Linked DNA regions of Caenorhabditis elegans. The protein of the gene in region 1 purifies or fractionates together with the protein of each later gene. This does not show direct contact. Each region holds a gene or a part of one and is shown in the gene's direction. Other genes may lie near its edges.

The links. Proteins that work in one complex are often made in the same cells at the same time.
Region 2: the proteins of zwl-1 (region 1) and spdl-1 purify together in Caenorhabditis elegans (affinity purification with western blotting; 3 studies listed by BioGRID, with this or other methods). This does not show direct contact.

What each region holds. Positions count from the first base shown.
Region 1 is NC_003279.8:2,400,231-2,403,984, forward strand, and holds the start of zwl-1 (Protein zwilch homolog), read left to right. Parts: upstream 1-2,001; 5' UTR 2,002-2,004; coding exon 2,005-2,094; intron 2,095-2,785; coding exon 2,786-3,065; intron 3,066-3,114; coding exon 3,115-3,208; intron 3,209-3,754. Other genes in the region: dot-1.1 (Histone-lysine N-methyltransferase, H3 lysine-79 specific), read right to left, coding at 386-538, 779-908, 980-1,178, 1,228-1,258. UniProt on the Caenorhabditis elegans protein: Essential component of the mitotic checkpoint, which prevents cells from prematurely exiting mitosis. Required for chromosome segregation, the assembly of the dynein-dynactin and mdf-1-mdf-2 complexes onto kinetochores and spindle pole separation.
Region 2 is NC_003280.10:7,779,881-7,783,634, forward strand, and holds spdl-1 (Spindly-like protein spdl-1), read left to right. Parts: upstream 1-1,685; 5' UTR 1,686-1,706; coding exon 1,707-1,742; intron 1,743-1,790; coding exon 1,791-2,033; intron 2,034-2,079; coding exon 2,080-2,403; intron 2,404-2,451; coding exon 2,452-3,084; intron 3,085-3,129; coding exon 3,130-3,333; 3' UTR 3,334-3,471; downstream 3,472-3,754. Other genes in the region: snpc-1.1 (snRNA-activating protein complex subunit 1), read right to left, coding at 1-49, 96-177, 239-557, 602-811, 857-925, 971-1,048, 1,099-1,183, 1,232-1,329. UniProt on the Caenorhabditis elegans protein: Transient kinetochore component required for chromosome and spindle pole alignment and chromosome segregation during mitosis.

The sequences.
Region 1 (3,754 bases):
TTCCGCGAAATTTCTGGCTTTTTTCGATAAAAATATGGATTTTCCATGATTTTTTGAGTCAAAATCTCGAAATTAATCGCGTTTAGGCCGATTTTATGCAGAATTATGGGATTTTTTCGATAAAAATATGGATTTTCGGGCTGATTTTTGAGTAATAATCCCGAAACTAATCGTTTTCAAGCCGATTTTTAGCGAAATTATTGACTTTTTTTCGATAAAAATAGGATTTTTGATGAATTTTTAAGTTAAAATGCCTAAATTATTTGGCTTTTAGAAAATATAAATTTTCAGGCTTATTTCTAAGGAAAAACCGATTTTTGAATAAAAATCCCGAAACTATCAGCTTTTTTCCATAAAATATGAATTTTCCAGGAAAACGCCTCACCTCGGACGTGAAACTTTTGTAATGTTGATTGAGATCTGCTGGCCGTGGAACTGCACACTCGTAGGCGTACGTTGTGATGGCTTTTGCCACTTCTGCCGAGCAATTTGGCTCTCCCCACTCTTTCAGCGTATCTGTGTTGTACGACCCGCTCCACTGAAATTAAATAGTTAATTAATTAATTTTTGCAAATTTTGCGGATTTTGGTTTAAAAAAATCCAAGAAAAGGAAGAAAAAACACGAATTTTTCATTTTTATTCGATTTTTTCCGCCTTTTTTGGATTTTATAAACGCCAAAAAAAAGCTATTTTTTCCGGTTTTTTTGGATTTTTAAACGCCAAAAAAAAGTTATTTTTTCCGCCTTTTTTGGATTTTATAAACGCCAAAAAAGCTCACATTCGAAGCAAATGGCTTGGCGACACGATTAAAACTCTTCGTCAGAGCCGCAATTTCACTAATTGACGGAGTATTTTGGTCCCAGCCCTTCGGGAAAGCGACCACCAATTGTTTAACTAGGGAGCACACGCTGAAAATGGAAAAATGATCAGAAATTAATTATATATATATATATATATTTATAAATCGATTTTTTCTCACCCTTTAATCATTTGAAAGACAACGGGATACATGTGAGCTCTATTACCCGGCAGACGAAGCGTCTTTCCTTGATAAAAAATCGAGTGAAGCACTAATAATTCGCCGTTTCCTACGTCGACTACGTCTACCGAAGAACTTCTCCGTTCTTCTTTGATTCTCATTGCAGCAGCCGGCTCTTCCGCTGTCCTTGATGGTGATTCTGCAATTTTTCTTTGATTTTTTTGAATTTTTTATCTTAATTTTCTCACCATCCCTCGCGCCGGCGTCTGCCTCCGACATCCTGCTGAAAAATGGATTTTTTAAAAATTATAATGTGTTATTAATTAATTTTCATTAATTTCTTTGATTTTAAAACAAAAATTGAGAAAAAATCCAATCAGAAAGTCTTTTTTATTGGAAAAATTGGTGGGTCGATAAGGAGTGCAGTGGGGCGCGCTTGCAGAGTACGCAAAAGTACGTGGAAGTGTTTGCACAGGAAGTGCACTTAAGTGGCGCGAAAACAAAACAATTTACTTTATTTTTCTCATTTTTTCACAGATTTTCTTAATTTTTTGGGTTTTTTTATTCGGAAAAAAAGAGAAAAATGCAAGATAAATGTAAATTTTTCATTAAAAAATCACTAAAAACGGATAAAACTGTAAAATTATGAGTTCCGACGACAACAAGCCGGAAATTAAATTGTTATTAATTTATTTTATTTTTCTCCTTATTTCACTGATTTTCTTCATTATTTGTGTATTTTCATCGCAAAAAGAGAGAAAAATGCAAGATAAATGTGAATTTTTCATTAAAAAATCACTGAAAATAGCTAATTTCCGGCTTGTTGTCGTCGGAACTCATAATATTACAGTTTTACCCATTTTCAGTGATTTTTCAATGAAAAATTCACATTTATCTCGCATTTTTCTCTCTTTTTGCCGATGAAAATACACAAATAATGAAGAAAATCAGTGAAAAAATGTTTTTTTTCACGTTTTTTCAGAAAATTCTCTTCTTTTTTTTTTCAAAATTTCATTTCCCAGAAAATGCCACTCACCATCGAGCAGCTCAAGCAATATAATGAAAAAATGGCCGCAAAAGGCGAAGAGGACGACGCCCCGGCACCGGTTCTCCTGGTAATTTTCCCCCAAAATTCTAGAATTCTTCGTTTGAAGGGGGAGTGGGGTTTGTGGGTATTTTGCTTAAATAGACTAAAACTGGTCCAAAACCACCGAATTTCATAACGAGACTTCACAAAAAATTTCCAAAACATTTTTATGGCGGGCCAAAATTTCGAAAAAAGAGCCAAATTTTGCTAAAATCCGAAATTTCGCATACTTTTCTTTGTCTCACAGCCGCTTGATTTTAGTTTTTCTGAAATTATCACCCTTTAATTCTTCTTTTGGTAATTTATGTCGCGGAAATTCGTTGATTGAGAAAACTTTTAGGCCGATAGGCATCCAAAAATGATCAAAATTGGATGCCTACTCAACTTTTAAGCCTATCGGCTTAAAAGTTGTCTCAATCAACGAATTTTCGCGAGATAAATTACCAAAATAAGGATTAAAGGGTGATAACTTTAGAAAAATTAAAATTCAGCGGTTGTGACAAAGAAAAGTGTGCGAAATTTCAGATTTTAGCAAAATTTGGCTTTATTTTTTCGAAATTTTATTAACCCGCCATAAAAAAGTTTTGGAAATTTTTTGTGAAGTCTCATTATGAAATTCGGTGGTTTTGGTCCAGTTTTAGTCTATTTGAGTAAAATACCCACAAACTCTACTCCCCCTTTAACTCAAATTTTAAAATTTCAAAATCTAAATTTTTCAGCTCGACAAGTACCGTGTCCGCGTGCTCCCGCTCACGTCGATTCCCTTCGTGATGAATCATTCGAGCGTTTCCCAGCTTTCTCTGAGCTCTGAAGATGTTCTTGTCGTTGATTTTCCATCCAAGGGAACAGGATCAGGAGCAGGAAAAGCGGAGAAAAAGATGATTTTCAAAAAGAAAATTGAGCCAATGGAAGATAGTTTTGAGGATAAAGAAAATGTGAATGAAGGTGGACCACTTATGACGTCATTTCTCACTTTGGAAAAATTGAGAAAAGGAATGGGTAGGTTGAAAATGCTGTTTTTATGCTGAAAAACCCCCAGATTTTACAGTTGGCGACGTGGAAATCATTGGATACGAGTGTGAAACCAGCTTCTTTGATGCAAATCCAATTCCACTCTCGGACGGGGTGTCTCTTCAGAGATAGTAATAAATTTATGTTTTCTGGAGTAGCGCCAGCGGAGAAATTGCTTTGAAACATTCCTATGAGGTCACAAGGACCGAATATCATGATAAAAAAATTCAAAAAAATTTTCTAGATTTTATATGATTTTTTGAAAATTGAAAAAATCTCAGTTTTCCCCCTAATTCCGCTTTGAATTTCCGCCAATTGGATTCGTTCGGTGGAGCGCACTTGCATTATTTTTATTTATTTATTTTATTTATTCTCGTTATTTCACCGATTTTCTTCATTTTCTATGTTTGTTCCTCGGAAAATGAAAGAAATAAACAAGAAAAATGCAAAATTTTTATTAAAAAGTAACTGAAAATGCATAAAACTCTGAAAATATGCGATCCGACGACGACAAGCCTGAAACTAGTATATTTCACAGTTTTACTCATTTTCAATTACTTTTTAACAAACATTTTGCATTTGTCTTGTTCATTTCTTCCATTTTCCGAGGAAAAAACATAGAAAATGAAGAAAATCGGTCAAATAACGAGAATAAATAAAGTTAATTAATAAAAATA
Region 2 (3,754 bases), on another chromosome or scaffold:
TGTTGTCGTTTTTCTGCGTCGCCGTTGTCTTACAGGGCGATCAATCGGGCTGTAAAAATAGGTTATTATTTTGGGGTTAAACTGTAATTGCTTACATTGGAACCTGAGCATCATTATCATCCAAACATTCCTGGGCGATGTCACCAAACGTTCTTGCGGTAAGATGTTTGAAGTTTTCTGCAAAAGTTGAACGCTGACTTTTGAAAAAAAAAAACATATTTTCGTGTAATAAATGTACCTTCCATGTTTGGATCAAGATGCCTTCTTTGTCTAGTGTGTTTTAGTCCTTCAGCATATGCTTTACTTCTCAAAGTTGATCTGCTTGAACCAGCTGTTTCCTCTGGAGCGCTACTAATTTCTGGATTTGTTGGAGAACTTTCGAACTGTTCTTTATATTTTTCGACAATGCCCTTGATTTCGTGTAATGGTGATTTGAGCCCCGTTAGAGTATCACTTAGTCCAAGTTTTTGCTTAGCCTCTGTGTAAACTCCGTGAATAAATGATAATTCCGTCATAATATCAGAACTGAGCATTTTCGTAACACTGGAAAACGGCTCCTGAAACTGTTTATGAAAAAATTCCAATAATTTAACTTACTTACAACTGGAATTTTGTTAAAATAGGGCAACTCTTCCTCGGCAAGGTATTTTTTGTGGGTTGCCGGATCATATGTCGACTGAAACACTTTAATTCTAAACGCTTTCTTCAGAATAAGCATTTTGAGAGCCGCAATTGGTTCAAGAAGTTTTTCGACTTCTAAAGATTTTTGAAATTCGAGAAGCTCTTCGAATTGTACCGCAGTGACCGGAATCTGAATTAAATTTTTTAAAACTAAATTAAACTTAGAATTAATCACCTGACAGACATGATCAACTGGCTGCAAATTGTACAACGCATAGCAAACATAAACTCCGAATAGCCTCTCCTGAAAATATAACATTTCAGACTTATTTTTACTTCTATTTCAAACCTTGAATGCCCTGAATGCTCCAACTTCATTCACTTTTCCGAAATACATTGCTGCGTGTTGTAACAGGTATTCAGTAAACTGAAAGCCGGAATATTATAATAGACTAAATAAAATCAAAATAAAGCTACCTCTAAGCATTCGGCAGGATTTAATCGATAATGAAGAATGGTCTCAAAATGCATATCCCGAAAAACATCAGCAAAGTCTCGAATTCTTAATTAATCAAGATTTTCCATCAAATAATACATTTTCTAACTATACCTGTTGGATCCCATAGATATAAACTTGTTGCACAATAAATGAAGATCTTGTTTAACTCCAGTTCCCATAAATGGCGTGGGAATACCTCCAGAAGCCATTGCGACTCGTTTTTTCCTTGAATCTTCAGAAATAAATCCGAAAATAATTGACGAAAATAAAAACATGCAAGTGCGCTCTATCGTGAACAACCAATTCTCGGCGGGAACCAGCGGTATTCAACGCATTTCAAAATGAGTTGCGCCTCAATTTACCTAAAAATATTGTTTTTCAATCGTTTTGATATAATTTAGCTCAAAATATTCCCATAAAATTAGTTTAAATATATTCGCAATCAATTTTACGCTTTATTAAAACATCAAAAGCTATAGATCTGCGTGAAACGTTCTTATAAATCGTGTTGCCGTGAAAAATATTCTACTGATCGTTTTCTATCGAAACATTTTCATGTTTTCAGAAGAATCGAACTTCAATCAGTATGCCTGACGACGAGGAGAAGCTCCAATTACTTGCTGTAACGTTTTATCATTTCATCTATTACCAACTAAACCTAATATTTCAGGACGTTGAGAGGCTCAAGAAAATTCTCCGTCAAAAAGATGAAATGCTCGAGGAGATGGAAGACGATCTCAAAAATCAGGGAAAACCTTGTTCTTCCAAACTTTCACTCGAAGAACGTGCACAAGAATTGAGTGAACAACTTCGCGATCTTCATGTTGAGATGGACGGAAAAAACGCCACAATTCTTGATCGGGACGCTCTCATCGATTCACTGCGTAGTGAGATCGACAAACTCGAAAAAATTGTAGGTTTTCATCATTGTGGGCAACATTAATATATTGAATTCTCAGAATAAGGAGTTTGCCAACGGATCAGTGATTCCCGAACATGATGATTCCAATTCCTTCGGAGAATCTGAAATGCTTCGTATTAGCGAAGATTGTCAGAAATACAAAGAGACGGCGACTGCTCTTTACGAACGAAACGCCGAACTCGAAAAAGAAGCGGTCAACTTGAAAGATGAAATTGAGTCGATGATGGATCATATTCGGGACCTCAAAAATCATATGGAGACGCGTGATGAGGAAATTGCCAGATTGGAAGGAGAGCTTTTTGATGAGAGAAACTCCCATGAAGGAAAATTAGCGGCACGCGGAAATTCAATGTTTTCTGAGGTAGGTTAAAAAATATCAATTAACTGCATTTTTTTTAATATTCTTCAGGTTATTGATGCCGAGCGGAAGGTTGAAGAAGACCTGAAAGTTCTTCATGGAGAGAATCGAGCACTGAAAGGGATGGTAAAACGTCTTCGAATGGAAGTAGAAGAAGTCGAAGAAAGACTTCGGTCATCCACAAAAAGATTCAACGTTACCCGAATGACCACAAGTGATATTGATGTCAAAGAGATGCGTCGTCTCAGAGACAGAGTTTGTCACCTGGAAACGGAAAGGGTTCATTTGTGGGAAAGAATGTTCATTAAAATGAGGTCAATTCCAAAACGCGAAGTGGGAGCGTTGATTACCGGCTACTTCAAGTCGTTCGAATTGTCAATTGCGAGCGTGAAAGGAGGTTTTGACGGTTTGATGAAGGACAACGAAAAGTACGTGACAATTATTCGTGGATTGCAACAGGAAGTAGAAAATCTCAAAGCGGACATTGTGCAACTACAATTCGACAATAAATGTGCTCACAGAAAAGCTGCACCAGTTGTCAATAAGGATTTCGAGCACCCGCTTCTTGCTGCTCCTCTGAAAACTCTTAACAATGGACGACCATCATTCTTCATTAAACCGAAAAACGTGGAACCCATGCCTCAATTAGGGCATTCATTATCCAGTATTGCCGTTACGCCACAGGTAGATAAAAGTGCAACTTTTCACTATAAATAATTATTTTTCCAGAAACCAGCAGCTAAATTCACCACTCGTTCCTCCATCAAAGATGATACTTCAGAATGGGCAGAACGTCGTATGAAAGCTCAAGCTGAAAAGAAATTGGCGACTCCGACGCCGCGTTACAACTATATCAAACTGTCCGAGCCCGTTCCAAAATTCAAACCGGCTGTTCTTCAAATGCCATCAACCTCAGAAACAAAGGAAAACTGAGTAAACATCATGTTCGTAGTCATCTCGTATTCATATAAAACCGCCTGTATTGATCTCGTCCCCTCTATTCACCAAGTTTTGTCGATTATTCTACAATGTTTCCTATTTAATGCATGTCAAATAAAATTATTTTTATTATAACGCTCATTCTTAGATTGTTGATGTTCAAGAACTTGATAGAGCCGCTGGCGGGAGTGCAGTGGAGCGCGAAACCCTATCGATATTACACGATCACTTATTGATTTATATATTTTTAATATTTATTATTGTAAATATGGGGTAGAATATAGAAAAATATTTTCCAGATTTTCTCTTCCCTACAATCTTCGGAGATCTCGTATGGATATGCTTTCGATATAGGTTCAGTTCTTACTACTAGTAACATTTGAGAGAGCTTAAAATTTAAAAATTGTAAACCGTT